3 linked regions of the Rhinolophus ferrumequinum genome follow. The protein of the gene in region 2 interacts with the protein of the main gene of each other region in a biochemical or structural test. Links are inferred from orthologs where the notes say so. Each region holds a gene or a part of one and is shown on either strand. Other genes may lie near its edges. The genes, in order: SH2D1A, CD244 and INPP5D.

Region 1 (10,910 bases), on a different chromosome or scaffold from region 2:
AAATTGGTCTTAAGGTGAATACAAAAGCAGCAAAATTTATTTTTCTGCCCCCACAATACTATAGTGCTGGTAATATAAGAACAAATAGATTAATTGAACCAAATAAATAGCTGCAAAACAATAACTGTTATATGTAAGAATGTAATACATGGTAAAGTATGCTAATAAATCAATGGGGAAGAAAAGTTCTATTTATAAATTATACTGGGACAATTGTTAGCTATTTCAAAACAAAAGCAAATTAGATCCTTTCTCTATGTTAAAATAAAATTCCAAATGGAATTAAATAGTTAAATGTAAACTAACCAAACCATCACTTTAAAACAAAAACTGAAGTGAAGTTTCATGACATCTCTGGAGGAGAAAGAACTTTCTAAGCTGGAAAGCAAAGAAAGAAATCAAACATCAAGAAAATGTGTGATGGATTTGATTACTAGAAATGTCGATTTTTGTGTGTGTATCAAAGAAAAGTATTGGGAAACACCAAACTGAGAAAAGATACTTGCAACAGATGAAGGATTAGTATATAAAATCTCATAATGTGTTAAGAAAAATAAAAAAAGATCCAAATGGTTAAATGGGCAAAGTACACAAAGAAATTACAACAGCTTACTGACCATATAAAAGACACTCAATCATTAATCAAAGAAATATGAAATAAAGAGTGAGACACCAAATTTGAAGGAGAATTTTTTTAAAACAAGAATACCCATTTCCAGGCCGGGTTCAGTGAGACACTCTCATGCATTATTGGTGACAGTATATATAAATTGGAAGAACCATTTAGGAAAAAAATATTTGGTGATCATGTATACATAAAGAATCCTAAACTGTGCATGTTTTCTGACCTAGAAATTGTACATCTTTAAAATTCATTATAAAGAAGCAATTACAAATACAAGGAAACTTGTATGGACTGAAATATGAATCATAATGCAATTTATAATAGCAAAAAGAATGGAATTATTCAAATGTCTAAAAATGGATGACTAGTTAAGGAAAATATAGTACATTCATTGGTTGGACTATCATGCAGCCATTAAAAATAATGTTTAAAAATCATTCGTAAGAACATTATATATGAATGGTTATTTTTTTCATGTTAAGTGGAAAACACATCAGAATACAATATTGTAAGAGCATATGTGTGTTTACAAAGCAATTTTTAAATTAATATATGGAGAAAAATCGACTTAATATTCAATAATAATTGTCTTTAGGTTATAAAACTATAGACAGTTTTCCCCTCATTTGCATTATCTACATTTTTCAAATTTTCTATAATATGAATAATCAGAAACTATTTTTAATAAACTGATTACACAAAAATCTAAATTTACTTATTGAAAATAAAAGAACAACTTCTCATTTTAAATAAAGGTGTGCAGTCCTATAAATGGAAAACTTCCTTAGCACTTGATGAGATTCAGTTTCCCAAAACTGAACAGAGAAAAAGGCCATACCTAAAGGCCATGACTGGGGGTTCAGAACTCGGGGAAGGAGCAAGCATATTTTGAAAGTGTCATTTACAGTTTGAAGGCATATGAAATGTGTTATTTCTACAATAAAATACAGAAACTGAAGCTCAACCAAACCTTGGATAATGCGAGTAAACAAAAGATAGAATGAGAAACTATTCTGAGCAAACCCTATAATCAGTGCATGTTTGTTAGCTATACCTTCTTGTTCATGTATCTATGATACCATTTACATTGTTATTCCTGCTGCACATCATAAGCATATACATTTTGGTTTAAAATGAGTACATGGTTTATTTCAAAATAAAATGTGATTTTGTTACTACAGCATAGTACTGAAATGGGGGAATGAAAGGTTTATGTTTATCAAAAGGGACCTTTGGCTCAAAAAAGTTGAGAACTTATAAAAGGCAATGTATCTGTGTGTCTTGCTTCTGCAGCATGGTCTAACAGTCACCATCTAAGACTTGGAGGCCCCAGTGTGTCCATCAAAAGATTCTCGGGGGACTCCTAATTTGCCTGCTATTTTATGCTACTTCATAAGGAAGTTTGCATGGAGAACAAAGAGTCATAAAAACTGCATTTATGCAAGATTCACTTTGGGCGAAAACTTAAATGTTTTAGAATTCCCCACCTGCCTAAATTAATTCCATATGTGATCTTGGCCTAAATGGGCAAAAGACTAAAGTTATCCTTATATGTTGCATATTTTACCAACAGCAATCTTATGCAGAAGGCAGGGCAGACAGCTACTTTACAAATATGGAAACCAAGACCCAGAGAAGTTGAGTGACTTCTCCAGAGTCCACATGCTGGCCTGATTATCAGTCCATAGCTCTTTGTAGTAAAGAACAGCATTTGCTTTGACAGTTCATTCATTAATTCAAAAATATATATTGAGTGACTATTATGTGCTTTATGATGCTTTTTATGTGCCAGGCTATGTTCCTGCTGCAGGTGACAATGTCCCTACTTTCATGGAGATTACATTTTAGCAGGAGAGCCCAGCAATAAATAAGTAAACAAACAAATCTCAGATAGTTTAAAGCTCCTTGAAGAAAAAATAGAATATAACAAGGACAAGGAGAGGGTACTTATTTTAGATGAGGTGATCAAGAAAGTCCCCTCTGAGGAAAGAAGCAAGAGCAACAGTAAGGACGAAGACCCTAAGGGGGAAGCATGCTTGGCAAGCTTGAGAAACAACAAAGATGACAGTGTGGTTGAAGCCTGAGGTGCATCTTGCTACACACTGTCCTCTGTTCTCCCTCCCTTGCCCAGGCTTTTTTTGTACCTTATTTTTTACCTCTAACTTAAGGGGCCCTCCTTTGTCAGCTTTCCTAAAGAAGCCCCTTTCATGACCCACTCACTCCTCCATCATCTTTTGATAATAACAAGGCCTAAGAATACTACTTGGCTTTCATTGACCTTCCCCAGTTTCTGCTTGGGAAAAACAATAATATAAGCAAAACATAAAGCTCTGAGCCTAAGAAATTCAACAGCTTCCATTTATTTCCTTTAAAGCCTTTATAATAAATGTATTTAGCATGTCCTGAGAGTTACCACAAGCGTGGCTTGACCATTAAAAAAATAAAGTAAACAATGAAAATCCTCTATTATCAGCCTCAGTGTAATCTTTCTTTACTGACCCAGAAGGTACTTCAAAAGCTTGCAGTACATCATTAGTTACCAAAATTACTACCAAGCATTTTCCCTTATTTTGTTTCTGTCTAGAACCTACTGTACAAGCAGCTGTTTCCATGGGTGTTTTTTTTATCATGCTGACAAAATGTAATTGAGCTAGTTACTTCCTTAGAAATGCCCCATGAGTACTAAAAGAAATTGACTGGGAAAAAAAAGGAATATAATAATAATAATAGCTTACATTTACTGAACATTTACTATCTCTCAGGTCCAGTGCCAAAGTTTTACCTGCATTATGGCATTTAATCCTCACAATCCTATGAGGTAGGTAGTAATATTATTTTATGGATAAGAAAACTGAGAGACTGAGAGGTTAATTGCTGAGGTCACAAACCTAACATTAGACTAGCACAGGATTAAGTGTCAGGTCTGTCTGACTCTGGAGCTCTGGAGCAAAGATGAAGTTGCATCTGATTAAAAATAGGACGTTAGACAAAAACATGGTTAGATAAAGGGCAAAAGTGATTCATAACAAAGGTGTTTTCCCTCCAGGTCCTTTACAACTATTGTCTGTCCTAACTTTTATTAAGAAAGGGTCCTGTCCCACACACAACTCCTCTAAAGGAAGCTAAATAAGCAGATCCAGAAAGGCAGTTTTACTCACAAACATTCTCCTCTCAACCTCCTACCTAACTGACATTGCATTCTTAATGTATTAAGTTTCTTAGTGTTCTTCCCCTCCCTGAATTTGATGGTCTTCCTTTGGGATGACACCTTCAAATACATTTAAAGAGAGGTGTAGAGAAGCCTTTTCTTTTGTCAGGAGCTGCTGGCCCCAAATCTGGCCACTCCACCATCCCCGGGCTCTACCTTGCCGGCCTCTACTAGAGGTCAAAATGGAAATCAGGAGCCTGGGTGTTTCTCGGAGCAAAGGTAAATTCTAGGCTGTGTTTGCCCACCCAAAGTGGCATTCACTGCCCTCAAAAGTTACTGGGGAGGACTTTCTGGAGAGTGAAATCCCCAGTGAGGGGACTAAGCTAAAGCATGGTCCACCATAATCCTGGGCTGGACCTAAATAAGCCTTAGGGGCCATCGGATGGGCAGTGGAAGAGGCTGCAACCAGCTCCTGTGGCCCACACATTGCCTGGCCCTGCCACTCATGCTCACTCCCAGTGCTCACCCTCTGCAGTCCCTAGACCCAGCCACCGCGACATACTCACAGCACACACAGGCAGTACACGCCTGGGACACTTTCGCTGTCCCTCAGCAAATAGCTGCCATCTAGACCGGTGGCAAGCAGGAGTTTCTCCCCTGTCTCCCGGCTGATTTTGCCATGATACACAGCCACTGCATCCATGGCCTGGTGGACTCTTGGGCGGGCTGAGGCGTGGGACAGCAGAAGGGATGCTGCTGCTGCTCCTGCTGCTGCTACTATGCACGAGTCAGCCACCTGACTCCCAGTTAGGCCAGATGTGCAAAAGAGAGAGAGGAGCACCAGAACAACAGGATGTTGTCTACCTGCCTTAAAACCTCCTTCTCACACTTCAATTAAAACCAGCTCAGCAATTTAGCAGCTTGATTATTGCCACAGTGTTCGATCCCCTACCTGCCCCACCCGCACAACAGAGGTTTCATGTGGAGAGGGGAAGAAAATGGGAAGAAGGTCCTTGCAAGATTTGGGCTGTACTACCAAAGTGTACACAGAGGAATGCTTGGTAATACTTTGATTCTAGCAGTTTTCCCAGAGGCTAGCAGGATGACAGCTTAACTAGTTCCCAAATAAGATGATGATAGAGGCAAGTTGTACATGTCCTTCATGGGGGTCAGAAAAACACTGACAGAGAATGAAAGTACCAAAATCTCTGAGACAAAAACTCAGAAGCTGTCACTACTATCACTGTGTAATCACTATTGAGCACAACCAGGAGGGCCCTGCGGCAAATACTGATTTTTTCTCCTTTCTTGTCCAAGTTCCCAAAGTGCTGGTTGACATTCAAAAATCAGTCTATGTCTGGTAACTGGTCAAGATGGGGTGGAGTAGGTAAATATTGTGCTCACATCCTGCCATGAGCACCTCAAAATTACAACTAAACTACAGAATAACCATCATTGAGAATCACCTGAAATCCAGTTGAAGAGAAGTCCTATAATTAAGGATATACAAAATACGTCACGTTGAGACTGATACAAGGAATGGAGAAATAAAATGAGCTGGTCCCAACCCACGTGTGGCAGTTAAAAATTGAGATAAATATCTCCACTGCATAGGTCCCCTGTGAGAAGTGAGGGGTCCCAGCCCCAGGTCAGGCCCCCCAACCCAGGGTTACAGTGCCTGGAAGAGAAGTCACCTTAACTTCTGGCTGTGAAAACAAGGGTAGACTGTGGCTAAGTGAGACAGAGGGCAGCTGGAGTCCCAGGTGTTCCTCTTAAAGGAAATGCATATGGATTTGCTCATTGACAGAATCACTCCCTTTGAGCTCCAGCACTATGGCAGCAGTTTGAAAGGATTCAGGGACATAGAGGGAGGAAATGAATTGTCTGGCTTCAGGGCAAGAGCTGGAGGACCAACTTTCTCCCAGAGAGAAGTGCTGGCAGAAACCATTGTTTCTTTGTTGAGTACTCCTACCTCTCAGAATGCAGACACAGGCAGCTGCTATACCTGAGTCTCCAACAACCTGGCTAACACCTACCGTTGGCCCTGCCCTGGTGTTTCCCTGAGACTCCTCCCTACCCAACTTTCAGGCTCACCCAAGCCACTTCCAGTGGCTTTTCGATATGTCATGCAAGGTGTCAGGTGGGGTCTCGAAGTCTTGCTCCCCACATAAGAACACAGGACATGGTGAGTGCTAATTGCACTCTGCCGTGCTAACTGCAATATGCGCTTGCCAGCTCGGCCACCATCCTCTTGCTAGGCCCCCGACTTTCTGCTAGTGTAGCCACAGCAGTTATATTAGTGGCCAATGGCTCACTGGTTATAGCTGACCACCAACTAGCCACAGCTGATGGCCATCCAATCACAGTTGATAGCCATTTATTACCTGAGCCAGCACCTTTCCATGTGATACTGAGAGCCTGGAAACTGCAATCCTGGCTCTGTCCCCACACCATACAAACAGCCTGTCTTGCCTCATGCTGTAAACTTTCCTCAAATCTCTCAAACATTCACAAACTGCAAATAAGGAGCATCTGGCCTCATGGTGCCTCATACCTCTTGTTAAACATCCCCAAGCCCAGCAGCACCCAGCCTTTCTTTACAGCTTAGCCTCTCCCAGGAACTTCCAAGCCAAGTACAAGTGGCAATTATCTTCAGATTACTTTGTAGCTCATGCCAAGTGGCCCCAGGTAAGGCACAGGCAGTGACTGAACTTGGCCTGCAGCACAGCCACTCCAAGAGGCCCCAGAATCAACACACCCAGTTGCCAGCTTCAGACCACACTAGAGCACCACCCAACCACCTCCATAAACAACACACTCAAAGGGAAGACTTGGCAAGTACCAGAGCTCCACTAAAGAGAATCCTGCCCTGTAGTGTCAGCCTCCATAACAGCTCCTCCACTGTAGTCATGGCCAGTTCTCACAACTAATCAGCCTGAAGTTCAATCCCTCCCATTGATATGCCAACATCACCCAAGGCTCAACTACAACAGGAGGGCACACACAACCCACACAAGGAACACACATGGAGCACTCAGCTCAGTAGACCAGGGAGACGGTACCACTGGGCCCCACATGACACCTGCTACATAAGGACATTCTACTAAGATTGGGAGACATAGTAGCCCTACCTAATACATAGAAACAAATGCAGGGAGGCAGCCAAAATGGGGAGACAAAGAAATATGTCCCAAATGAAAAACAGAACAAAGCTCCAGATAGAGAACTAAACAAAATGGAGACAAGCAACCTACCAGATGCAGAGTTCAAAATACTGGTTATAAGGATGTTCAGTGATCTCAGTGAGAACTTTAACAAAGAGATAGGAAACATAAAAATGGAGATAGAAATAATAAAAAAGAACCAGAATTCTTCAGAAATGAAGAATACAAAAACGGAAATGAAGAACACATTAGAGGGAATCAACAGTAGATTAGATGAAACAGAGGATCGAGTCAGAAATTTGGAAGATAAGGTAGCAGAAAGCAGCCCATCAGAATAGCAAAAATAATCCAGAAAATTAGGATAGTTTAAGGGATCTCTGGGACAACATCAAGCATACCAGCATTCACATCATAGGGGTACCAGAAGGAGGAGAGAAAGCAAGGAATTAAAAACTTATTTGAAGACATAATGACAGAAAACTTCTCTAACATGGTGAAGGAACTAGACATGCAAGCTCAGAAAGTATAGAGAATCCCAAGCAAGATGTACCCAAAGAAGCCCACACCAAGACACATCATAATTAAAATGCCAAAGGATAAAGACAAAGAGAGAATCTTAAAAGCAGCAAGAGAAAGGCAGTTACAAGGGAGCTCTCATAAGACTGTCAGCTGATTTCTCAGCAGAAACTTGTAGGCCAGACAGGATTGGCATTAAATATTCAAAGCGATGAAAAGCAAGGACCTACAGTCATGATTACCTAGCAAAGCTTTCATTTAGCATCAAAAGATAAAGAGCTTCCCAGACAAGAAAAAGCTAAAGGAGTCATCACCGCCAAACCAGTATTACAAATATTGTTAAAGAAACTTTATAAAGAAGGAAAAAAAAAGATTTAAAATATGAATTATAAAATGGCAATAAGAACATATCTATCAACAATTACTTTATATGTAAATGGATTAAATGCTCCAATCAAAAGACATAGGGTGGCTGAATGGAGAAGAAAACAAGACCCATACATACATATGCTATCTATAAGAGACTCGCTTCATATCTAAAGACACACACAGACTGAAAGTGAAGGGATGGAAAAAGACATTCATGAAAATGGAAATAAAAACAAAGCAAAACAAAACAAAAACAAAAAACAAAAAACAAAACTGAAGTAGCAATACTTATACCAAACAAAATAGACTTTAAAATAAAGGCTATAACAAGAGGCATAGAAGAGCGTAGTAATTCCACTTTTGGGAATTTATCCGAGGAAACAAAAACATTAGTTTAAAGGGACATGTGCTTTCCTATGTTCATTGCAGCATTATTTACAACAGCCAAAATATGGAAGCAACTTAAATGTCCATCATTAGATGAATGGATAAAGAAGAAGTGGTACATATATACAATGGAATGTTGCTCAACCATAAAAAGAATGAAATCTGGCCATCTGTAAAAAACATGGATGGGCCTAGTGGGTTTATGCTGAGTGAAATATATCAGAGAGAGAAAGACAAATATTACATTATTTCACTTATATGTGGAATCTAAAAGCCAAAATAAATGAACAAACAAAACAGAAACAAAATCATAGATAACAGAGAACATTTTGATGGTTGCCAGATAGGAGTAAGGATGGGGGAGATGGGTGAAGAGGGGAAGGGATTAAGAGTTACAGATTGGTAGTTACCAAATAGTAATTGGGATATAAAATACAGCATAGGGAATAAAGTCAATAATATGGTAATAACTATGTATGGTGTCAGATAGGTACTAGATGTATCGGGGTGTTCACTTCGTAAATTATATAAATGTCAAATCACTATTTTGTACACCTGAAACTAATATAATATTGTATGTCAATTGTAATTGAAAGATTCTTTTTTACTTTAAAGATCAGTCTATGTCCAAAGATGTTCTAATTTTATCCATTTGATGAGTCTTAAATGAAAGCATGAATTATTTAATTGGTGTTTTGTTTTTACCTGAACTTGTACGTGCTTTTTGATGTATAGGACCCTCCTTTCAGCATCTGGGGTATAAAACCTGCTTTAAATCATATTGCAAGTGTGGATAATTGTATTGTAACTTTTGTCCTCTGTTGTTAATAGAGAATATGTTTTTTCTTTAGGTGATGCTAAACTACGTATCATCAATTATTTTAAAAACCTTTCCATCTTCATTTCCTTCTCTGAAATAAAGCATTTCTTCTATTTCAAAATGTGCTGTTAGGTAATATTTCCCAAAAGTGTCCTCCTTTTTCACTAGAATAAGACTTTGTTTAATGCTTGAAGCTGAATGGTCTTCTATATTTTTCCTTTTGATTATGTAAAATTCTTTTATAATTGGAATTTAAATACCTGAAGATATGTTGTCTGTTGTATCTTTCACAATTTCAGTACCGAGTGCCTTGAGAACATGGCAAGGCTGGGAGCTCAATAGGGAGAACAATTTTTAAATTCTCACATGTCCTACCAATGGATTGGATGCACATAGCTGCCTTGTACCAATGGCAGATATTTGCTCTACCTACTGGGCTTGAGAACAACTAAGATTTCTGTGACAGCTGGTGGTAACTCTCCTATCCTTCATGATTGAAGCATGCTCAGCCTTAGGATCTATCAACCTTAGTAAATACAGTATAAATATAAGCCTTCCATAGTCATTCACAACACCAAGAATAAAAATAAATTAATTAAACAGCATTTGAGATGATATTTGGGGATGGCTCTAGGGAAGTGAGCCAAGATTGTCTCATTATCTTCCTACCTCATTTGTTTATGGCTAACTTCATCTTTCACCTTTTTGCATGCTTTGGGTCAAGGAAGAAATCGGTCTGATAAGTGAATGCATACACCAATATTAAGTGAGCTTGAGAGATTAGTCTGCCCTGAACTCTTTATATTTTGAGCGGACAAATGACTAGCTGAAAGAAATTTATTCAAAATGGTGGAATTTCAAACATGAACCGAAGGTAAGGAAGAAGATTCCCTGTTCAGTGAATATGGACAACAGCCCACCTGTTGAGGTAAACTGTGAGAATATTCAGTGTGGCACAGGTAACAGCAAAAGCCAAGCTTTCCTTGAACAACCTTGAACAAATCATCCACAAACTTAAGAACAGAGAAACCTAGATCTGACAGCAAAAACATGCCATGCATTCTTCTTTTCGTTCTGTTTTGTTAGGTGTTGCTAAAATAGCACACCTGTCAAAACAGCCAGGTACAATGGAGTTCAGCACAAGTAAAGTCGTATTTAAAAAAAAGAACAGATAAATTATAAGGTAATAGTACAACTCACACGTCCAGTACCTCATTGTCATCTCATAAGCGAGCTGACAGCTGAGTGAGCCCATTATTGCAGTGTTGATGAAAAACGCTGATATCTTTACTCTAGTGCTACACCAGTGCTAAACCTGACTTTAACAAATTTAAAACTTCACCCTGAGCTTAAATGTAGAGAAAGGGAAATTGAAAGGACTCTCTTCCTTTTCTCTTGCCATACTCACAAGAGAACAAAGGGGGTAAATGAAAGAGGGGAGCAATGAAGATAGTGGAGATACCAATAGAGGGTTAGGAAGAATGGGCCCCAAATACAAGTATAATCCACTTATAAGCAGAATTATCTGATTGTTTATTGTCTGTCTCCCCCACAATAACATAGGGTCCATGACAGCAGGATTTTGTGTCTGTATCAATGCCTGCCACATATTAGATGCTAAATATATTTGTTGAATGAGTGAATGAATTAATGAAATTAGTGCTCTCAAGAAAATAAGAGAAAACTACACACACACACACACACACACACACACACACACACACATACAAATCCACATGCTTGGCTTTATAGGAAAGCCAAATGTACTTTAGAGAGAAACAGAGGAGAAATGGACTGAGCTCATTTGTGTGCAAGAAGCAATAGCTTCTCACCAGATAGAGGAAAGATTTTTGTTCTTGTTATTTATAAATGGTCTAAGAA
Region 2 (10,257 bases):
GATAACAAGTGCTTTTGCCTTTCACGGCTCCATTCAGACCCTGTGTGTTCCCTGCTTCTGTGCAGGCTGCCCCCCTCGCTTACACGGTCCTTGTCCCTTCTCCTCCACTCTTGTTTATCCTTCAAGGACACTTCCCCAGTGCCCCATCTAGAAGGAATCTTGGTCTCTTCGTTCCCTGTGAGCGACTCAGCATTTCCTGTCTTCCCTTATAGTTGTGATTTTACATGATTAGTTCCCTCTGAAAGAGCCTTATGAACAGAATCAACATCTTCTTTCTCATCTTTGTTCCCCCACAAATTCTTGCATAGTTCTTGTAACATAAAGGCTTGATGATGTTCAGTGAACTATCTAATTGAATCCCAGAGTGCATCTCGGTAACTCCCGGAAACGACTCTGATGGAGGACTTCCTCATGGAGGCCGCCGACACGCGGTCCCCTGGGCACCGGCCTTTGCCTCACAGGGTTACGCCCCTGCAGGCCCCCAGGATGAAAGGCTCACATGGCGTTATCACAGAAAACCTGCAAGTGGCCCAAAGTGTCCTCTGCAGTAGAATGGGTGAATAAACTATCCAATAGTCGCACTATGAAATATTACACAGCTGTGAAAATGATCAGCCAAATAACAATACAGACAGCAACACAGATAACAACATGATAACATCCCATCAGATGTTGAGAGGAAAGGAGACAAACACAACAGCACCGTACGATTCCACTTAAACACGGCAAAACCAACCTATGATGTCAGAGGTCAGAGAAGTGACTGTGCTTATGGCAGCGGGGCGGGGGGAGGGAACAAAGGGGAGAAAGCCTGTGTGCGTACGGAGCTGCCCTCATCTAGCAGCCACTCAGAGATGCCCACGACAGTCACATGCACTTCTCTGTTCGTGTCACACCTCAATAATAAAGGTTTGTTTAAGACAATGGCCTGGTCACCCCAGCACTCTGGTTCCCCAGAAGCAGGCTCCTGCAGGGTGGCCCTGAGTCGAATCCCAGGCTCTCTCATGCCCAGCTGCTTCATCACTGACAGGTTGTGATGGGAAGAGATGAGCCCGACCACGCTGTCTTCTCAGAACTTGCCTGAGTCCCAGCACGAGCAGCGGCCATCAGACCTCTGGGAAGTGAGTGCAACTCGGCCACCCTCAGGGCAGGACCCCCATGCTGCCCGCGCCACCTCTGTGCCCACAGCCCCTGGGCGTTCACAGCCTCCAATGTGTCCCTTGTGGTTTCCTCAGAATGTGCAGCCAAGGCCTGACCTTTGGTCCAAGATGAACGTTAGGGTTCAGGCCCTCTCCTGTGGGCCGTGACGTGAAGGTCCCTGGTCTCCAACTCATCTGACCCCCAAATCATCCCAATCTGCCTGAGACACTTGAAAATAACTCATTCTTTCACTCAACTGACATGATCCGAGCACTGATGGGCTCAGTGTACATGAGTCACAACTGGGATTACACAGAAATCCCGCGACGACGTCGGCTCTGGAACGGGAGCCATGGACCTACCCCGAGTCCTCAGTGCCCACCCAGCACCTGGCACGAAGCTGCCCACACACACATGGGGACAGGGACAGAAAGGGAGGTGATATTGTGAGAACAGTAAGCATGTTTTACAGTACGATGTAAGAATGATAACACACGCTCCTTTATGTTAAAAATGTTGGAGGCTCCCTGAGAGCCTGGGTGTGACAATGAGGAGCCCTCAGAGAACCACACATTGAACGTCCGCGGCTTATCCCTTTCTACTCAGCTTATTAGTCAGTGAAGGGTCACTGCATAGTCTGTCTCTTGCCTTTGATCACACAATTAAGTGACATAAATATATGTCCTGCCTCCAAAGAACCGAATAACATGAGCACTCACCTGGGGACTTGTTAGACCTCCACATTTTTCTAAGCACTTTCTACAGCACATCCGCCCTAACCCTGCACATCCCTGTGCAGCAGGCACCACGCTGAGCTCATTTTCCCCTGAAAAGCTGGAAGACAGGGTTAGCTGAAGGGCTCAAGACTGGGAGGTAGCACGTGCTCACACGTCGGGAACAGCTTTTCCCCAGAGCATGTCCAGCCCATAGATAAGCTCACTTTATTCCCTGGGTTACTTAAAGTTTTCTTTCATTCTGACATATGAACTGAGGGTCTGTTTGTGCCAGAGACTGTTCGAAATGCTGAAGACACAGCAGTGAGCAAAAGAGACAGAAGCCCCAAGGGACTCACATTCTGGTGACACAGTGGAGCCTGGAGACAGAAAATAAGCAAGTCAACAGGGTGGAATGCGACCTGCAGAGGGCCTGGGACCTGCAGGACAGCTGGAGAGGGCTGGGGGGGGCAGAGGGGGCAGAGGGGGCAGGGGGGGCAAAGGGGGCAGGGGGGCGGGGGGGGGCAAAGAGGAAGGGGGGGTGGGGGGGCAAAGAGGACGGGGGGGGGGGGCAGGGGTCGGGGGGGCAGGGCGAGAAGCTGGTGTTTGCGCTGAACTCAGAGGGGTAGAGGGAGCAAGCCACGTGGAAAGGGACGATGCTGAGGGCGTAGGACCGGGGACAGTGAGCCCATAGGCCGGTGTGGCTGAAACGCAGTAAGAGCAGAAGGACGAGACCAGGAGGCCGCAGACCTCTGTAAAATGTAGGGCTTTCACTGTGGGGTGAGGAGCCCTTGGAAGATTTCTGCAAAGCTGGACAGCGACGTGAGCCTCTCAGTATCTCACATATTAAATTCTTCAATAAACCAAGTTTTTAAGAAAAAGTTTCACCCTCAGCACATCTCCTGATGGGACTGACAATGAACAGCATCACTTTTGCAGTATTCCTGCCCAAAATACAGTACCTGAATCACTTACAGAAACGTCTGGCAGACCCAGAATGAGGAGCCGTCCCCAGAGCTCCAAAACCGTCAGCGACAAAACGCGGGGAAAGCTTGGCCATCCCAGAGGCGTAAAACACAAAACAACTGAATCTAATACACGAGCCTGACTAGATTCTGGATGGGAAAAAAGTAAAGCCATAAAGCACGTTACTGCGAAAACCAACAACATTTGAACATGCACTGTGAGTTCGCTCACGTCGAGGTTCCCACCTCTGATCACTCTGCTGACGTGGTAGGAAACGCAAACGTCCTTGCTTACAGGTTGTGCGCCAAAATACGTGGGAGCAAAGGGGCTTTACTCTCAAGTGGTCCAACAAAAATCATCATACGTTATACACATACACATATATACGGAAAGAACAAGAAAGAAAGCAGATGTGATAAAAAGTTAACAACTGCGAACCTAGGTGAAGGAAATACAAAATTTTTTTGCACTATCCTTGCAATTGTTCTGCAACTCTGAAATTATTTGAAATTAAAATGTTTAAAAATTCAAACAAATAAACAGAGCGCTTTCAGTCACCTTTGACCAGGCCGGCCCCACAGACAGAGGACTTGGCAGGGAAAGAAACAAGGCCCCTCAGATCAAGTCCATGCGTCCGCTGCCCCAGGAAGCCCTCCCAGCCCCCTGCACAATAGCCAACGACAGGGCTGGAGCCTGGACTCGGGGTGCAGGGACCACCATCCTGTCACACAGGCTCATGATCTCAGCCTCAACCCTCTGGCACTCTTAGCCCCAAAGCCAGGCCCCAGATCCTGTCAGTCCTACCTCAGCTTCCTAACAGACCCTGGACAAACACCCCCTGTGCCTCAGTTCCCTCCTTTTGCACCCCAGTGGGCCCACCTCTCACACCACGCCACCCAAGATGCCCCTCCAAGAATCACTGACCTAAAATGCAGGCTCAAAGTCTCAAAGTGGGTGGAAGAGGAAAAGTGCCCTGGGCTGAGAGCCCCACCCAGCAAACAGCAGGCCTGGTATCCCGCTGGCAGTTTGTGGTTTGCTAACGTTGCCCTAATGTTAGGACAATATTAGGACAAGGGGCATCCTAATATTATCCGTTTCTCTCCCAATCTCTGCCCCCGACCTCAGCCTCACATTTCCCCAATAATTCTCAGGCTCCTGTAGCTTTGTGAAGCCACAGGAGCTAGAGGACAAACGACCTGTACAGGAAAGCCTGAGTCCTGCTCAGCTTCCCTGCCTCAGGGAGCAGCACGACTTCCTAGGGAAACCCAAGCCCGGGGCCAGTCCTCATCTCTTCTGGCAACCCCACAGAATTCGTGTTCCTTTGCTCCTTCTTACAGCCGGCAGGAAGGACATGCTCCGCACGCAGAAGGGAACCCGAAGTCAGTGGAAAGCAACCTCCTTGCCTGGGGCTGCCTGGACTGCTGACTGCCACAGCCAGCGAGCTTCTCAGTGATTTCCCAAAGTCCACTGCCAGCCTGTCCAGACCTGTTAGGGCTGCTCGAGTCACAGATCCAGTCAGAGGCTCTGGGTGCTGACCTCCCCATGGGCCGCGGCCCCACCGCCGGCCAGGCCGGGCCCCTTACCTTGACCCTGATGCCCCTTAAGGAGCAGGAGGAGCGTGAGGCTGAGAGCTTGGCCCAACATCCCACAGGACACAGGGTCAGCCTGGCTGTACGGCTCCCAGCAGACGCTGTGTGCAGCCACCAGGCACAGGGGACGAGGGGGAGAACTGCCTCGCTGCCTGTCTGGCCACAATTTCCTCAACTCGGCTGTTCTCACTCACAGCCGACAAGGCTGCAGAGACAGCCCCATGCCTGGACCCGGTCGGACAGTTCTCACAACGGAACTTGCTAGGTTGGCCTCAAGTGGGCGGGTACTGGGGGTTCAGTGACTCACAAACCAGCTTCAAAATCTTGCCTCTCACTCTACCCCCACCCAGTGGCTTTGTCCGCAGAGCAGAAACCCATGAAATTTTCCAATTCTCTTCATCCCACTGGCAGTATGGAGAAACCTACATGGGGACCAGCCATTATCCTGGACTCTCATTCCAACAGACATTGTGAAGGGAGAGGGGGAATGGTTGGGGACAGTGTGGGCTGACAAGCGGGACCTCAGCTGAGTGGGTGCAATACTAGAGGAGTAGGGGGCACTAGAAAACCCTGACAGGCCCAGGGGTTCTCTGCAAGTTGATCCCTAATTTGAAGCACATGCAAATTCAAATGTTCTGGAAGAATTTGCTTTTGCTCATTTCCCTATCTGTGCTGAATTCCCTCCCTTCCTCTTTCTGCTTTCCCCTAGGTCTCCCCTCCCTCACCACATGGGATGGAGGCGCACATCTGCCGTGCTCTCCCATCCACAGTTCAATTGGACACTCCAGAGGCCAGGCAGCCCAGGGAGGGTCAGGGGTTCATTCTAACGTCCCCCCAGGACGTACTGGTTTGGAGGCCACAGCCCAGGGTCCCAAGCCCTTTTCTTTCTTCTTCTTTCCCTTTAGTAGCAAATACTTGCAGTTCCCTTCAGGACAACCCTTCCTTTTTCCATCCTGTGATCCACTCGCACTCACCTTGTCTGGAACTGGGCTGAGAGGCCAGACTGAATCCTGGCAGCCAAGAGAGGGAGAAGAACACAGCACTGGATTTGGAGCAAAGATGAAGACTTGGCTTAGGGAAGCTTTCCACTAGCTCCTTTGCATACACACAATTATGTTCCCGAGACCTTGGTGGACACAGAATAGTGACTGGGCTCGAGAATTCAGGCTCTGGAGCCTTGTCTATCAGGGGTTAGCATTACGGTTCCACTACTCAGATTTGTGACCTTGGTAAGGCACCTAACCTTCTTGTGCCTCAATTCCTCATCTGAAAATGGGGATAACAATACGACCTTCCTCTTAGGTGTGAGGACAACATGAGTTAGTGCGTTTAAATCATTCTAAAGCATGTCCTCCAGCTCAACACTATGCAAAGCTCTGTGCAAACTCAGCCCAGGCTGCCCCCGCCAACCACTGCCCCTCCCCGCGGAACAACTCCCACATTGTCGGCTCCTCAGTGGCACCTGCACTTGTGGCTCCGTGAGGGGACACAAAAGGCTGCTTTCCACCTGAATCTCTTATCTCAAGCACTGAAGAGTGTCATGTTGATCATACCTTTATCTGTGACAGTTTCACGCAAAATAACCCCACCATTTCTCTGCTTGAACATCTTTAAGGATTTCAACCTGTGTTTCATGGGGTACTCCTCTCAAGAAAAAAAAAAAAGACATCGAATATGTCCAGAATACACCCAGAACGGGCAACTTTGGCATATTATTTTGAGCTGAAGGCAACTGAGAAGTGGTACAAGAAAAGCTCTCTCTCTCTCTGGAAGTGAGAGAGGTTGGAGGGAAGGGTCAAACGAAGGGATTAAGAAATACAACTTGGTAGTTACGAAAGAAACCGTCGCAGGGATGTCAAGAACAGCATAGAGAATACAGTCAATACTGTTGTAATACCCATGTGTGGTGTCAGGGGGGCACGAGACTAACCAGGGGGGCCACTTCGTAAGTCACATAAATGTCTAACCACGAAGCTGTACACCTGACACTAACGTAAAACAACAGAGTGTCAGCTGTAACTGAAACCTAATGAGTATTCATAATCATCACAATAATAAATCCTTCTGTCCTCCCCTATTGGCCTAAAGGCAGAACATAAATTTGTAAAGGTGTCCCCTCTTATCCACCAGCAAGGACAGAAGCTAATCACCAAAGACAACTCTCTAGACCCTTGGCACAGAGACAGCACCAGAAGAATCTACATAACAAACCTGTGTGGTCCCTGTCTTCCATTCGTTTCCACAATCTGCCACCAGAGAAACCTGAAGTCCTTTTTCTTTGTGTTGTCACTTCTCTAAAATTCTACTATTGTTAGAGTGTTATGTAAACGTAGTTCTAAACATTGCTTTCAGTTACTCATCTCACAGTGCTTCCCTGTGTAAGCATGATGCACGTTACTAAACGTGTTTGTCTCTTGTTAACCTGTCATTTGTCAGTCTAATTTATAGGCCCCACTGGAAAACCTAGAACAGGAAGGGGGGGAAAAATTTTTTTTCTTCCCCTACAACATATACATTGGCTCCAGGTATTGTGTGTGCAAACTTGGGGACGGAAATTTTTTATTCTACCCTTATAGGTTCTTTTGCTGACCTAATCATTGTCATAAGACAGATAAACGGGGGGAAAAAACAAATTTTAATTTCGTATGTACAGGAACTTATATGAGAGTACACAAAGCACCAAAGCAGGCAGCATTTATACCTTCTAGACAAGGAACCAATACATTTGTGAAGAATTGACAAGACAAACAAGTTTGGGCTTGGAGCAGCACATTACTGAAGTAACAAGGTCTGTTTATACAGCCTTCTTAGCCCTGCGTTCCGAGTCTCTCCCCACCTCCTGGTGCAGGGAGGGTAGGGCTTTTGACAGGGGAGACTGAGTTCCTGCTTTCAGGGGACAAAGGAGGGTCAGTGTGTCCTCCTTGAACTGGCTGTCTCTGTAACTAAAGTAACTTTAACCCACATAATAAACATACCAAAGGGGCACATTTGGGGCAGCCTGCCACGAACCCCCATCACAACAGAGTAAGAGGTCATGAGTCCGTTAAGAGTGCTGCCAAAAAACTGGAGAGAAGGGGTGAGAAAGGCTTGCAGCCATGGGGGCTCTCCTTGCTACTCAACCCCTACACTGCCCTTGCCAGGCCCCTTTCCAGGGAAAGGGACCTCTTCTCAATGTTTAGCCTTATTTTGCACAGGCTGAGGTCTCCCTGCGGAAAGTTTCAATGGGGTCTTAGCGGCCACCTCAACACCTTAAACCATAAACTGGGCTCAGAGGTTAGGAATAGCGCTGCCCCCTGTAAAGGACTCAGCTCACCAGAGACAAATAAATGAGGCCACTTTGTTCTCCTCTGGACCTGCATACACACCAAGAACAAAGTATTTGTGGTGCCACCGTTTAAAAATTCTGGGCCTGGGACCCTCTGTCCCTCGGCTCCCTTTTGCTTTTCATTTCACTTCGATACAAATGACAAGAGGTGATAATGCTGGTGACAGACAACATAGCAGCTGTCACTCAGCTTGACTGATGTTGATTTTGGAACCTGATACTTATTCATTCACCACGTATGGACAGCACTACGCGCCTGACCCTGGGCACGCTCGGTGAACACAGCCCCCACCCTCAAAGAAGTTGGTGATACCAACTACTTACTGAAATAATGACTGAACACCACCATTTCATTATTTCCGCATAGTTTAACAATCAACTAGAAACAGAAAGTGGATTTAAGTGCTGTTATAAAACGACTCGGAGGGGATGGGTCTCCCCACACCACACCCTCCCGCTCCTTCACTTGTCACATCCTGGTTTTCATCCTCTCCTTTCTCTTACAAGTTTCTGTATGACATGGTTTTTAATTCCCTTTACCGTCCACATCACTTTCTATGAGCATATTTCAGTTTGTCTGTACCTGTCTTCAGTGTGGAACCTAGAACAGAACTTCATTACTTCAGGATCTAGTGCCGTCGGCAACGACGGGATTTATCATTCCTGTCTACTGAGATCTTTTTTAAAATCATTCTGCAAGCTGCTGAGGTTGCCCTTCCGTCTCTAACTGCTTGCCATCGGTAAATATGACGCACATACCTTTTCATCTGAGTCACCAGCAAAAATGCATGCAGTTCATCCTTCACTCCAGAAGGTGGCACTCACAGGCCCATTTTGTCAAGAGCTCACTTGTCTCTGTCCAGTAGATCCTGCTGGGATGGCAGACTCACGTGATACGGTCACAGCTCAGAGGAAACCCGCAGTCACATCAAAACTTTAATTGTCCTCTCTCCCAAGACCCACATTCCCACCTGTACAGAGGAAGTTACCTTGCGTTGGCTCCTCCTCCTGCTTTTTCCTTTCAGGGTCACTGAGAGCAGGAATTGGGCTCCCAGCTCCAACCTCCCCCTGCTACCGCCCACACCCACCCCCACCCCCGCACCTCCCCCGTCCCAACCCCAGAGGTCCCACTCGCCTAGTACTGGTTATGTGAACTCAGGCAAGCTCCTTGTAATTTCTGTGCCTCTAATCATTGAACAAGTTACCCCAAAAGAGGAAAGAAGATCCATTTCATACTAGAATTTTATATCTACTTTTAAAAAAGGGAAAAATTGGAGGAGCTACAGAATTCTTTTCAAGTGGAGTTGCTCTTTTTCGTCATTCATCCCCTTGAAGCTGTCGCCCTGCCCCATAGAACATACTGTCCCCTCACTCAGAAATGGACCAACCTAGTTCCCTCCTCTTCCTCCCCTGGCCTTGACCTGTAGATACAGTGCAGATGAGAACACATCCTTACACGCAATCATTAATCCCTGGTCACGGGGGCTCATGTCTCAAAATCCCAATCTCCAGGAAAATGCCCTGTTCCCCATCTCCCAAGTCTCAGTTTCACATGAGAAATGTGCAGTTCAACCCTTCCCATTCAAGCACAGACCCAGGGTACGTTAAAGTGTAATCAAGGCTTGGAGAAGGCTCTCTCTAATTTCTTGATCAATAAAACTATTAGATGGATTTTGAATGGATACATCACTCTGGGAGTCCCAATTCTTTTAATGTAGAACTTCAGGATATAAACAAACTCAATGTGAAAAATAAACATTTATTACAAAAATCAGTTTTGACATCATACAATGAAAGCAGACAAGGTGTTTTCCAACCCAAAGGGGCGGCTGCAAGCTGCAGAGGTGAATACCAAGGCTGGTACCAACTGCCTCCTCCTCACAAGTGGCCTAGGGTGTGAGGAGACTTACAGGGCAGTGAGCCACCTGGGCCTCTCCTCACACCTCCCAACAGGATACAGAACTGAAACATACTTCACAATTCTCATGCTTACTGAATCATTCCATCATCTCTGCTTTTATTGTCTAATTTGATTTTACTTCCACCTGGAAAATTTTTTTTGTTCGCCTGTGACCCTGACCTGATGGTTTGATTGGTCCTGTTTTTCCTTTTGGGTCCTTGCTACAAAACTCAAACTCTGTTGGGATTTCCAGATCAGGCAGCGGAGTACAGCAAAGCGGTACTTAGTATCCTCCACAGAAATAATCAAAATGACCCTAGAAAACTCCTTATTTGTGCTCTTGCTAGTTAATCAATAGACTGGGGGACGGTGGTAGGTGGGGAAACAGTAATTTAAGGGCACAGAAGGGACTGACAGGAAGACGAGGACACGCAGGCCTGCTCCCTCCTGCGCTCGCTCACCCACAGCCGGACTCACACCCGGTCACCAAGGATCTTTTCCTCAAACACCCACCCCACCACAGAAAGTCGCAGGGACTGCTAAAGATGGAGTCTCCAAATGGTCTGAGACGCACTCCTGCCGCAGGCTCCAGCACTTTCTCCTGCAGCCCCAGGGGCTGGGTGA
Region 3 (10,856 bases), on a different chromosome or scaffold from region 2:
TGCAGTGAGGAAAATCCAGGGCTTCCTCAGACCAGGGGTGGCCATGCAGGGGAGACATCAGAAGACGAAATTGCTCAGAAGAGTCTGATGGGATTGAGGCCGGAAACAGGAGGGTGGGTATGTTTTTTGTTTTCGGCACATCAGTGAGGACTGCTGGCTGCTGAGGTAAAGAAGAAGAGGAACAGAATACGAAGCTGGGGAGGAGTTGCCACGTAATCTCTGGGGAAAGTGAGTGGCTGTTGGCAGAAAATGCATTTAGGAAATGCAGTCACAGGCCCTGCCAAGGAAGGGTTGTCATGATTCAGGCTTGGGAAGTGTTCGGAAGCAGAACAGAGGTTGGAGGCAGCTCAGGGGCCCGGGGAAGTGGCCGCCCCAGCACCAGTCAGCAGCAGCCAAGCAGAGAGCTGCTGTCTCCGGAGTTTGGCAAATCTGACCCCAGAGGCCGAGAACCAGAAGGGGTTGGTTGCTATGACAACGTGGTTACCTTGGGGAGACCACTGGTGTGTCTTGCACCAGGTATGGGCTTAGTTCCACAAAGATGCAAATCTGTAAGGTCCGCCAAGGCCATTGGGCCAGCCCCTTCACGCCTCATGTTCAGCCCAGGAGACACACCCAAGCAGCTTTCTTGGGAAGGGACTGTTTACATTTTGTTAAAAATTCAAATCATGTCTTAAATCCAAGGAGGACAGCTCAGTTTTAAATGCCTGCTGTGATGAAAGTCGAGAATCCTTTTGAAACACAAGTTACCAAGGCCTGTTTTTTAAAGTCTATTTCAGAAGTGGGGTTTTCATCCGTGTCGCTTTCTTCAGGATGGCTCCTCTAGGCTGAAGGAAACAGTAAGCTCCGATTCTCCTGCACCATGGGTATGGCAATTGCCGCAGCCACTTTAGAAGACAATATGGCACAATTAATCAAAACTGAAACTGTGCACCACCTTTGAACCTGAGTTGCTCTTCGGGGGGTATTTATCTCTGACTGCACAGGACCCAGAGACACGGCCACGTGTGTACACTGTGGCATGGTTTGTCATAGTAAACGCTGGAAACAATCTAAGTGTCCATCAACAGGAGACTGGTACCATTAATTATGCTATGGCATGGAATGGTATGCTGGCTTTAAAAAAAAAATGTGGTAGGCACAAAAAACCACCACAACATGTTCAGAAATATTGTTAAAGTGAAATAAGCAAGGTGCACAGCAGGGTAAAAAGCAAAGAGGCCTTGCAAAAATATGGTATATGCATAGAAGGTTTTGCAAGAATACACAAGAGGCTGGCCTGGGGGCAATGGGGTTAGGGGTCTGGGAGGGCAGGAAAATGTAGTTTTCATTGTGCTGGCTGAATTTTTAATATGTATTACTTTCAATAAAAATTTAAAAAAGATCCCAGAGAAAAGTCATTCTCTTCCTTATGACTCCCTAGGGATGTGTGTGTCTTTGGAGAGGCTCCCAGCCATGTACATAAAGCCACGCTGTGCCACAGGATTTTATACACCCCTTCTGGAATTGGAGTTGGCTTGTTATTTATTTAATTTTTATTATTATAGAAGTAGTGTGTGGTCATAAAGGAGTCTGGAAAAGTAGGAGGAAGGAAAAAAAAAAATGCCTGTAGAGATGCCACCTAACTCAGCACTTTTCATAATCAGTGATTTCCCAGTATACACTTTTTTTTCCATAGTTAAAATCAATATTTCTTATCGGTTTCCTGATATTTTTCTTTCTTTTTTCCTTTTCACTTACCATTGTATTATGACTATTTTCCTTAACAATCTTGGCAAAAGACACAAGATATTTTTGTGGATGTGATTCTCCCTTACTTGATTCTTGCCAATGTCAAACCTAATTTTCCTTGTTGTAGTTCACCCGTTTGATTTTCCAGGATCTTCAGTGAAAGGGCAGAATGGCTCATTGCCAGGCCTTTGGTAGTCACGGGACGTCATTCAGCGCAATTATGGACTCTGTGGGACCTTGGACCCCTGGGGAAATCTCCTTCATCCCTGTTGGCATCGTTGCTATGGGAACACGAAAGTTGGGGCTCTGCAGAGCGTCACACCTGAACGCCTGGTGGAGGCTAGAGTTTGAGGCTCCCCCTGGTGGCGGAATCACCAGGCTCAGAACCTGACCCATTTAGGTTATTTTTAGTCGGAGATACAGAGGGCTTTATAGAATCCTGTCCTTTTTCAAACCAGGGTGGATAAGCCAATGGCGAGTGTCACTGACCCTGGTTGTGTGCTGGAGCCCACGGACGCTCTGCCCTGCAGGCACTGGTCTGGAGGGCCACCTCGGAGACCTGCCTTGTCGCGAGCACCTACTTTGCACGAGGCATGTTACGTAACTTCACAGAGTCGCAGACTGAGATTCAGACGCCAGATATTTGTGGCAGGGCTGGGACTGGGACCCTGGTCTCACATGTGTGTAATTCAAGGTCTGATTTGCACTCTGAAACAGTTACCAGAGATGTGGAGGGCACAGGGTGGGCGGGTTGTGAACCGAGACCTCACCCTCCCACTCTTAAGGATGCTCCAGGCCGCCGTCTCAGGGACGACTAAACCAAATCAGAGCCAAATTTGTGTGTGCCGGGGTCCAGGGAGAGGATCCGGAGAGGCCAGCTCCAAGAGGCCAGGAGCAGAAGTGGAACTGGGACTCAGTGCGAGGGAAAGTGAGGCGGCGGGATCCTGCCACATAAGCTCATTGCTTTAACACTGAAGGTTTGTCGGTTCTTCCTAGAACTTCTAGAGATGGCCAAGTGCCCGTGCCCTGATGCCTGGCAGCCCACCCTGATGGTGCTCACTGCACTGACTTCCTAGAAATTTTCCTCCAGTGCCCGGGACTGGCCAGGGTTGGCAGTGTGGTTGGGTAGGCTGCCTCAGCCTGAACATGGGCCCACATGAAACATGACCCAACTTTTCCCCTTCAGCTGCTCTCCAACCCTCTGCCCTATGTGCGAGGTTGACCAGATGCCCCCAAGGAGCCCCGGGACTCAAGCCCATGGGCTCTTTTTGGAGCCGTATGACTGGGTATGATTCAAGGGAGCAGCTTGAGGAGCAGATCATGCTTTCTGACCAGTGTGGTATTTCTTTTGTGTGATGGCACAAGATTGGGCTGCTGGGATGGTTCTGAGATGCTGATTTTGGATGGTTCTTACTGATACCGAGCACAAGACAAGTTCAGGGCTCTGGACAACCCATAATTCATGGCCAGTCCCTGGCCTTGAGCTGTGTGGGCCCCCAGGTCACCCCTCACCTGCAGCGTTCCACCCATGGTGCTGCCTCTGTTCAGTAGCACTAAGGATGGCAGAGATGGCGGCAGGTGTTATTTACCCTCGACACGCCTGCCAGTAGTGCCTGGGCACTCATTCTACCCCCTCTGGAGGCGCCTGTCCAGCTGTCAGGCCGCGTCTCCTCCAACGGCTCGCGAGACCATTGCTCTGCAATACCCATGGGCTCCTCCAATCAGCTCACATGAAGCCGTCCAGGATGCCCGTAAGCAGGCCAGGTGCGGATGCACATTCCTTGAGAATGGGACCACTCTCATGTGTGCAAGGCAGGGGTGTGGTCATCAGTGAAAGAGAGCACTGGGTAGCAATGCAGTGATTATGGTCTAAACAATTCACGAGAAGCTGGTTAGAAGATGTGTTGTTCTCCGTTTATGCTACGAATGTCAGAACAGTAGCTTTAACATGACTACAAAATCACGTACCGTTAACATTTTCTCACACGCTCTGGGCAAGACACGCATCTGTGTTTATCCGTGAAACAAAGAAACAACCTCTGAGGGAATTACCGGAAGTCGGTATTCACGGGTGGCGTGAGTAATGGTGCCACCAGCAACAAATAAATAGTGTGGGAAGGGGGCAGAGGCAAGGATGAACAGGTGCTGAAAAGCCACGACATTGTGAAAAATTGCAGCACTGTTGACTTCATCTCCCTGCACAAGATATGAAATCAGCCAGGAATAGTGTGCTTGTCAGGAGAAAACAGGACCTGAACAGGAAGAGAGGACCTGGACATCACTTCATATGCACCAATTAGACATCGAATATATGCGTACTAACCTCCTCTTTATCCATTATTCTAAACCTTATTCAATAAATCACTCTACCTCAATGGATCCTTCGATTTCATAACAGTTCTTAGTACATTGTTTTATAGATAAGGGCCCTGCAAAAAAAAATATTTACCTGGCCCCCACCTGCCGTTAGGGCAGCCCTGAGCGAGAAGTTGGGGTTTTCTGAGCGTGGGGGGCTCAAGGACAGGGGGACAAGGAAGCTGACCATGTCAGATGGCTCAGGCAGTTGGGTTGGGAAGGAAGTGAAGATGGGATGGGCCTTAAAAATGAAGGAAATGAGTGTCATGTGTGTGTCAAAGGGAAATCACACTGGAGTCAAATGGCCAGGACAGTCCCACTGGCCACCCCCAACTCTGCAGAGATGTGGGACTCAATGGGAACAGAGGCGTGAGGCAGGGAGGGTGGGAAGCTGGAAAGTGTGGGGGAAAGATGGTTCTAAGAGTCTTAGACGTGCTGCAGGTTCTCTAGGATGAGTTGGTCAAGGTACAACGGGGCCAGGATTTCGGATGGAGCCTCCTGATGGACCCTAGAGTGACCCAGGGGCTTTGAGGCTGAGAGCAGGGTGGAAGTTGGTGCGGGTCAGCAGGGAAGCGAGGAGAAGGGTGCAAAGTGCATGATGGGAGCATCCAGGTGAGGTAAAGCTGAGGTGCGGGGAGGGACTTCTGGGGAGCCGGCAGACACAGGGTCCGGCTGGTTGGGGGAAGGCCAGAGCATGGAGGCCAGCGCTATGCCCACTGTGTCCCCTCCCCCACTGAGGGCCTGCCCAGAGGGCCCCTGATACAGGCTTGCTGAAGGTTTAAAAGTTCAGTCCTTGGGTTCGGTGGGAGGAATGGGGAGGGGGCTTGGGAGGCAGAGTGAAGACTGGACTTCTCTGGGCTCACGTTTCCCAAAAGGAACTTCACCTGGAGCCCAGAGAAGGCCTGAAGTGGGGGGCCACACTTATTCCGGGCCTCAGAATCAGGACGGGGTCAGTCCACCCGGATGACAGCACTTTGCTCACTCAGCATCACCTGCATCGCATGCTGCTGCAGGCGGGAGGTGCTGGCGCTCCTTGGCTCACGTGAGCTCCTTTAGGGGCTATTTTCCTTAAGGTAGAGGCCTGGCTTGGGCCCTGGAGGGATTCTGCTGTCATGTCCTCCGGGGTGAGGCCTCGGGTTGGGAGGCCACCCCCTGTGCAATAGATCAGAACTTACCCCTTTACCTGGTGGGCCTGATTCAAGGACTGAAGGCACCCAGTCTGGGGCCCAAGGGGCAGGTGCCCACTTTGGAGCCCTCAGAATCTGCTGGTCCTGGCTGGTGGCCTCATGGAGGCAGTTCCCCTTTGGGCTGTGGGCAAAGGCAGCCATGCCTGGCTGCCCCCGACGCTGCTGAGCTGCAGGACTCAGGAAGGAACGTCATTCTTGGTCAGGTGGCCAGTGGGGATACGTGGGTTTCCCGAATGTTCTGTGAAGACCCAGAGGTGAAAATTCCAGCCTTTATTCATGCTGCCATGGAGGATGTGTCGTCCAGTTTCTTTCAGACCCACCAGGCCCAGGGAATGAGTGTGAAAGTGTCAGAGAGCTCCCGTGTGGGCCCTCGGAGGCATCAAGCAGTGTCACCCAAGGTCCTCCCAGCAGCCAGGGCTGTCTGGGGTCTGGATGGCCATGAACCTCCAATATGGAGAGGAGGGCTCAGCTGTAACCCTCCCCTCCATTTTGCTCAGACCTGGGCCAGGCCTTAGCCCCAACTGAGAAGGTGGACCCGGAGCCTCTGTGCCTCGGGTATGTTGGGGGGAGGGCACAGGGAACTGAAAAGCCCTGGGGTAGGGCAAGAGGCTGAGGGATCTGTCCAGGAGGTGGCCATCCCACGTGGGCATCGGGCCAGGCCTTGGAATGGCCGCTGCTTTGGCCTGTCCACACCTGCCAGGCCACTCTTCTTCAGAAGCCAGCCATGAGCCTCCTGACACCACAGGAGCTGCCAATTCCCCTAGGACTTGAGCTGGCATTTGACCCTCTGGGGACTGGGACTCATTAGAGGAAAGAAAAAGGGCCTGCGAGTGAGCGGGAGGGGGCGCAGGCTGGGGATGGGTGGTGGAGGACTGGGCGCTCCTCCGGCTGGGTCTCTGCAATGAGGAAGTTCTCTGCAGCTCGTTTCCTTTCCCTCGCCGAGCGCCTGAAACAGGAAGTCAGTCAGTGAGCTGGTGGCAGCAGCCGGGGCAACAGAGAGGGGACAGACGGCAAGTGGCCGTGCAGGGGCCTCACTCCCCGTGGTGGCGTGTTGGTCCTGGGGGTGGCCGCCGGTCCGGCCCGAGGAGGTCCACGCCCGCCATGGTCCCGTGCTGGAACCATGGCAACATTACCCGCTCCAAGGCAGAGGAGCTGCTCTCCAGGACGGGCAAGGATGGGAGCTTCCTCGTGCGTGCCAGCGAGTCCATCTCCCGGGCCTACGCGCTCTGTGTGCTGTAAGTATGGTGTTGCCCCCGCCCAGGCCCTCCGCCGGGGCCTGGCCTCTCCTGCCCGGGCACAGAGATACGGAGGTGTCACTCAGAGAAGGGAGGCCAGCCTGGGCCTAGCCAGGGGCCCGGCACTGAGACGGGTGGTTTCGTGTCACGGGACAGAGTGACCTGCCTTGCACACTTCCCGGGTTTGTTGGTGAGCCTAGGTGAGGTTTCCTGGGACTTGCAGGCCTGGGAGTTTGGGTTTTGCCATGTTAGAGCTCTCCAGAGCCACTCTGAGGCCTGGTCACACACCCCGGCTGCCCATAGCTATGGTGCCAGGGTGTCCTCAGGGTCTGGAGTCAGGAGAAGGGGTCGGGGCTCTTTGTGGCAGGCAAAGCTCAGGGCTCCATGGTGGTGGGTGTGTCAGAAAGCAGTTCGGTGTTGGTCAGAGATGCCCAGTGTGCAAATCCTCATGGAAGAGCAGATGTGGCAAAGGGGACACTTCCCATGCCAGGTTTCGAGTCCCTGGAGGAAGCTGTTATAGGGGAACCATGAATATGGGGTGGGTTCACTGAAGAAAGGACTTTCAGTTCACCCAGAAGTGGCATCCTGGGCCGAGAGCAGAGGAAGTCACCACCACAGGCAGTTTTATCCTCACGACAACCTGCAGTGCGGGTCCTGTTATCACCCCACTTTGCAGATGAGGAGACTGAGGCGCAGACAGGTTAAATGAGTGACAACAGTCAAATCCAAGGCCATCTGCTCCCAGAGGCTATCCCCAGACAACCAGACTTCTGCCACCCCACTCCTGCCCCTGTCAAGCCGAGTGTGAAGATAGATTCCAGGTGACAGCAAGAGAGCCAGAATGTTTACAAGGGCCAGCTGGCAATACTTAGAAAATAACCCAGGTTCACAGCTGGCCCGCTGGCTTGAGCTCTGACTGCGTCAGAGGGCCCACCTCCCAAGGCCAGCTTCCTGCACCGCCCCCGCCCGCCCCCACACACACACTCAGGGGAAGGGACACAGGCCTGGATTTCCCCACAGGCACTGCCCCCATGGGGACCCACCAACAGGGCTTTGGAAAGAGTAAGGAGATACTGAGCCGACTCCACTCAGCCCAGGTGGATTTCTCCCCTGCCCCAGCGGGCCCTGCATCCAAGGCTGATTCATTAGGTGTTTGCTGTATGCCAGCCTCCTGCAGAGAGCTTCCAGGGCACCTGCTGGTTAACAGGCATGATAGCCCTTTGACCAGGAGCTGTGGCTGTGCTCAGGCTACACATATGGATGGAGGGTCCCTCTGATTCCAACTGGGAGCATCGTGGCCAGTCAGAGCCAGAGCTAGGACCAGAAGCCTTGGGAACCCCTCATCCGACGGCCCCTGAATTTGCAGGTGAGCAGATGGAGCTCAGAGAGCTGGAGTCCTTTGTCCACACTGCCCGTTGGCTGGCAGCAAACTGGGATTCAGGCCTGGTTTCTGGAATTCACTCTCTGTCCCTCCCCTCCCCTCACCTGCACTGAGTTCTCAGACCTGTGGCAGACGGGCGTGGTCTGCACCTTAGCAAGGGTGCCCAGGCTGCCTACAGACGTTCACCACCCTCTAAGCTCACGCCTGGACTCCTTGTCAGTCTCCATCCTCAAGGTCCTGACACCAGGGCCGCTTGGCCAGGCCTTCCCCCCCAGCCCAGGGCTCCCCTTTTCCTCCGCTCTGTGGGTGAATCCACACTTCCTGCGGGCTCAGGAGCCACTGTAAGCTGAGGAATACCATGGACCACCAAACTTCCCCAAAACCTGGGCCACCTCATTTTGCTGCTACCCTTAATTTTGCTAATTAAGATTTAAAAACTCAGTGACAATTAACTGCCACCTTCCAACAGCTCATTTCATGAAAGAAAGCATCCTTTAACACCAAAGAGGCAAAAAAATAATAATAATAAAAGCCAGTGTTTTTAATCAAATAGATTTAACTTCCTGAAAAACAAACTTCACCACCCTTATGTTCTCTGTTCCCTGTGGACCGGTCAGTGGAAAGCTCGCCCCACGCCGTCCTTGGTTCATGGCCTGGTTTTGGGAATCCTGATGGGTGAAGAACAGCTGGGCTTTCCTCCGTTTCAGAAGTGGCAGGCTTCAGCCCTCTGCTATCTCTCTGGAAGTCAGCCAGGTGCAGGGACCCTGAGTGGTGTGGCTCTGGGGTCAGGGCCGTTTAATAACCTTGCTCTAAAAGTGAGCCAGGACTGCTGAAGGAAGCCACAAAGACGCTCCCCCCTGCTCTAGAAATAGCCATATGGAAAAGACCTCACAGCCCAGGGTGCCCACACCTTATCCTGCCTGGGCCCCAGGGGCCAGGACTTCTTCCTGCTCCCCTCTGGTGAGTGAGGGGACAGCAGGAGTCCATCTGATGGTTTAGGCGGCTGTGTGTGGAGCTCCAGGAACTAAATGTAGCTTCCTTGGACATGCTCAGGAGTGAAGACAGGATTTGACTATTTAAATGGAGCCAGGAAGGGGGGTGGGGGGCACCAAAAGACAAGGCTGCAATTCAGTGCTGCCCAGGTGACTTGAGTACACAATCACCCCAGGCCTAGCAAACCCGCATTTCCTCTCAAGAGTCAGCCCTGCCACCTGCCACTGGGCAGGAAAGCTCAGATCTGTCCTAAGGCACTCAGAAGTCTTGCTTTAGGGGGACCCTAGAGGCCTGTCTTGGGGTACAGTGAACCCCAGGGAGAAGACCCCAGGCAGCCGACCACATGGCTGCACAGGGTTTGAGTGGGGTTGGGAACAGGCTGGAGAGGGGACCCCTATGATGGAGTCACAGAGAGGGCCTGGGAGGTCCAAAGATCCAGGAGGTGCAAAACGGTTTCCTGAGGTGTGAACGGATGTGACATAATCCTTTTCTCTCCCTCCAATCTTTGTGCAAAGCTTCAGTCAAGTTGACACTGCTCATTAACTACTGTTGTGCAAATGCAAAGAAAAACAGTTCTTCATATCTGGTATTAAAAGAAAGTGGGCGGGAATGCTGGCACAGACAGTAGCCAGGAGCCAGAGCTGGAGAACCTGGGGTTCCTGAAATCTGGTTTCCATAAGAGTTTGTGCACGACCAGGAGGGAATGGAGGCCCCGAAAGCTGACGGAGTTAGTGGGTTCGTGGTATCCTCTGTGTGAAGTGACTCATAACAAGCGTGGTGACGTTGAGTGTCTCCAGATTTTCTGTGTCTGTGCCCAACACCCCAGAGCAGTTTTTCCACCCAAGGTTTCACAAGCTTGCCTACCTGACAGGTTAAACTCACCTGTGCATAGAACGTCACCGCTTCTCCACTGAATGGTCCCATCTCCTGGAGCGTGAACCCAAGCATGGTGATGAGATGTGGTCCTCCTAGCCAAGCCTTCCTCTTTGGCCCAGTGATGGAGTGAGAGGAGGTCCACTCTCCCTCCCTAATTCATGCCACATGACGCAGTCCTTAGGGGAAGCCCTCTGTGCTTGCCTAGGTCTGATGCGAGTTCTAGCATCTGCGAGACGCTAGCTTCCTTATGCCCACACAGCTTCCTCATTGGTGAAACGCCTACTTGTTGGGTTAACTTTTTTTACTGAGGTATAATTTACATCCCATAAAATCACTCCTGTACAGTGTACAATTCCGTGATGTTTAGTACATGCATGATGCTGTCCAACCATCACCACTAATTCCAGAACATTTTCATCATCCCCCCAGAAAACCCTGGCCCATTACTGGTCACTCCCTATTCTCCCCCCTCCCAACCCCTGGAAACCAGTAGTCTACTTTCTGTCTCCAACCATTTGCCTATTCTGGATGTTTCATATTAGTGGAATCATACACTATGTGGCCTTTTGTGTCTGGCTTTTTCCACCTAACAGAATGTTTTCAAGGTTCATCCAGGTTGTAGCACGAATCATCCCTTTTTATGGCTGAATAATAATAGCCGACTGTATGGATACACCACACTTGATTCGTCCGTTCATCAGTTGATGGACGTTTGGGTTGTTTCTATGTTTTGGCTCCTGTGAATAATGCTGCTGTGAAAGTCACGTCCAAGTTCTTGTAGGGACATACGTTGTCTGTTGTCTTGGGTGGAACCACTGGGTCATATGGTAACTATGGTTATCGTTCTAAGGACATGTCGTACTGTTTTCCGTGGCTGTGGCACCATTTTACCTTCGCAGCAGCAGTGTATGAGGGTTCTGAGTTTTCCATGTCCTCACCAACACTTGTTATTGTCTTTTTGATGATAACCATCCTAGTGGGTGTGTGCTGGCATCTTATTGTGACTTTGATTTGCATTTCCCTAATGATGAACGATGTTGAGCTTCTTCTCATGTGCTTATTGGCCATTTGCACCACTTCTTTGAAGAAATGTCTATTGGT

The links.
Region 1: the proteins of CD244 (region 2) and SH2D1A interact in a biophysical measurement, tested with the Homo sapiens proteins (2 studies listed by IntAct). The link is inferred for Rhinolophus ferrumequinum from reciprocal best matches to the Homo sapiens genes CD244 and SH2D1A.
Region 3: the proteins of CD244 (region 2) and INPP5D interact in a biophysical measurement, tested with the Homo sapiens proteins (2 studies listed by IntAct). The link is inferred for Rhinolophus ferrumequinum from reciprocal best matches to the Homo sapiens genes CD244 and INPP5D.

What each region holds. Positions count from the first base shown.
Region 1 is NC_046284.1:32,676,233-32,687,142, forward strand, and holds the start of SH2D1A (SH2 domain-containing protein 1A), read right to left. Parts: upstream 4,564-10,910; 5' UTR 4,477-4,563; coding exon 4,340-4,476; intron 1-4,339.
Region 2 is NC_046305.1:2,209,442-2,219,698, forward strand, and holds the start of CD244 (natural killer cell receptor 2B4), read right to left. Parts: upstream 4,663-10,257; 5' UTR 4,464-4,662; coding exon 4,403-4,463; intron 1-4,402. UniProt on the Homo sapiens protein: Heterophilic receptor of the signaling lymphocytic activation molecule (SLAM) family; its ligand is CD48.
Region 3 is NC_046291.1:5,844,185-5,855,040, reverse strand, and holds the start of INPP5D (phosphatidylinositol 3,4,5-trisphosphate 5-phosphatase 1), read left to right. Parts: upstream 1-6,214; 5' UTR 6,215-6,371; coding exon 6,372-6,505; intron 6,506-10,856. UniProt on the Homo sapiens protein: Phosphatidylinositol (PtdIns) phosphatase that specifically hydrolyzes the 5-phosphate of phosphatidylinositol-3,4,5-trisphosphate (PtdIns(3,4,5)P3) to produce PtdIns(3,4)P2, thereby negatively regulating the PI3K (phosphoinositide 3-kinase) pathways.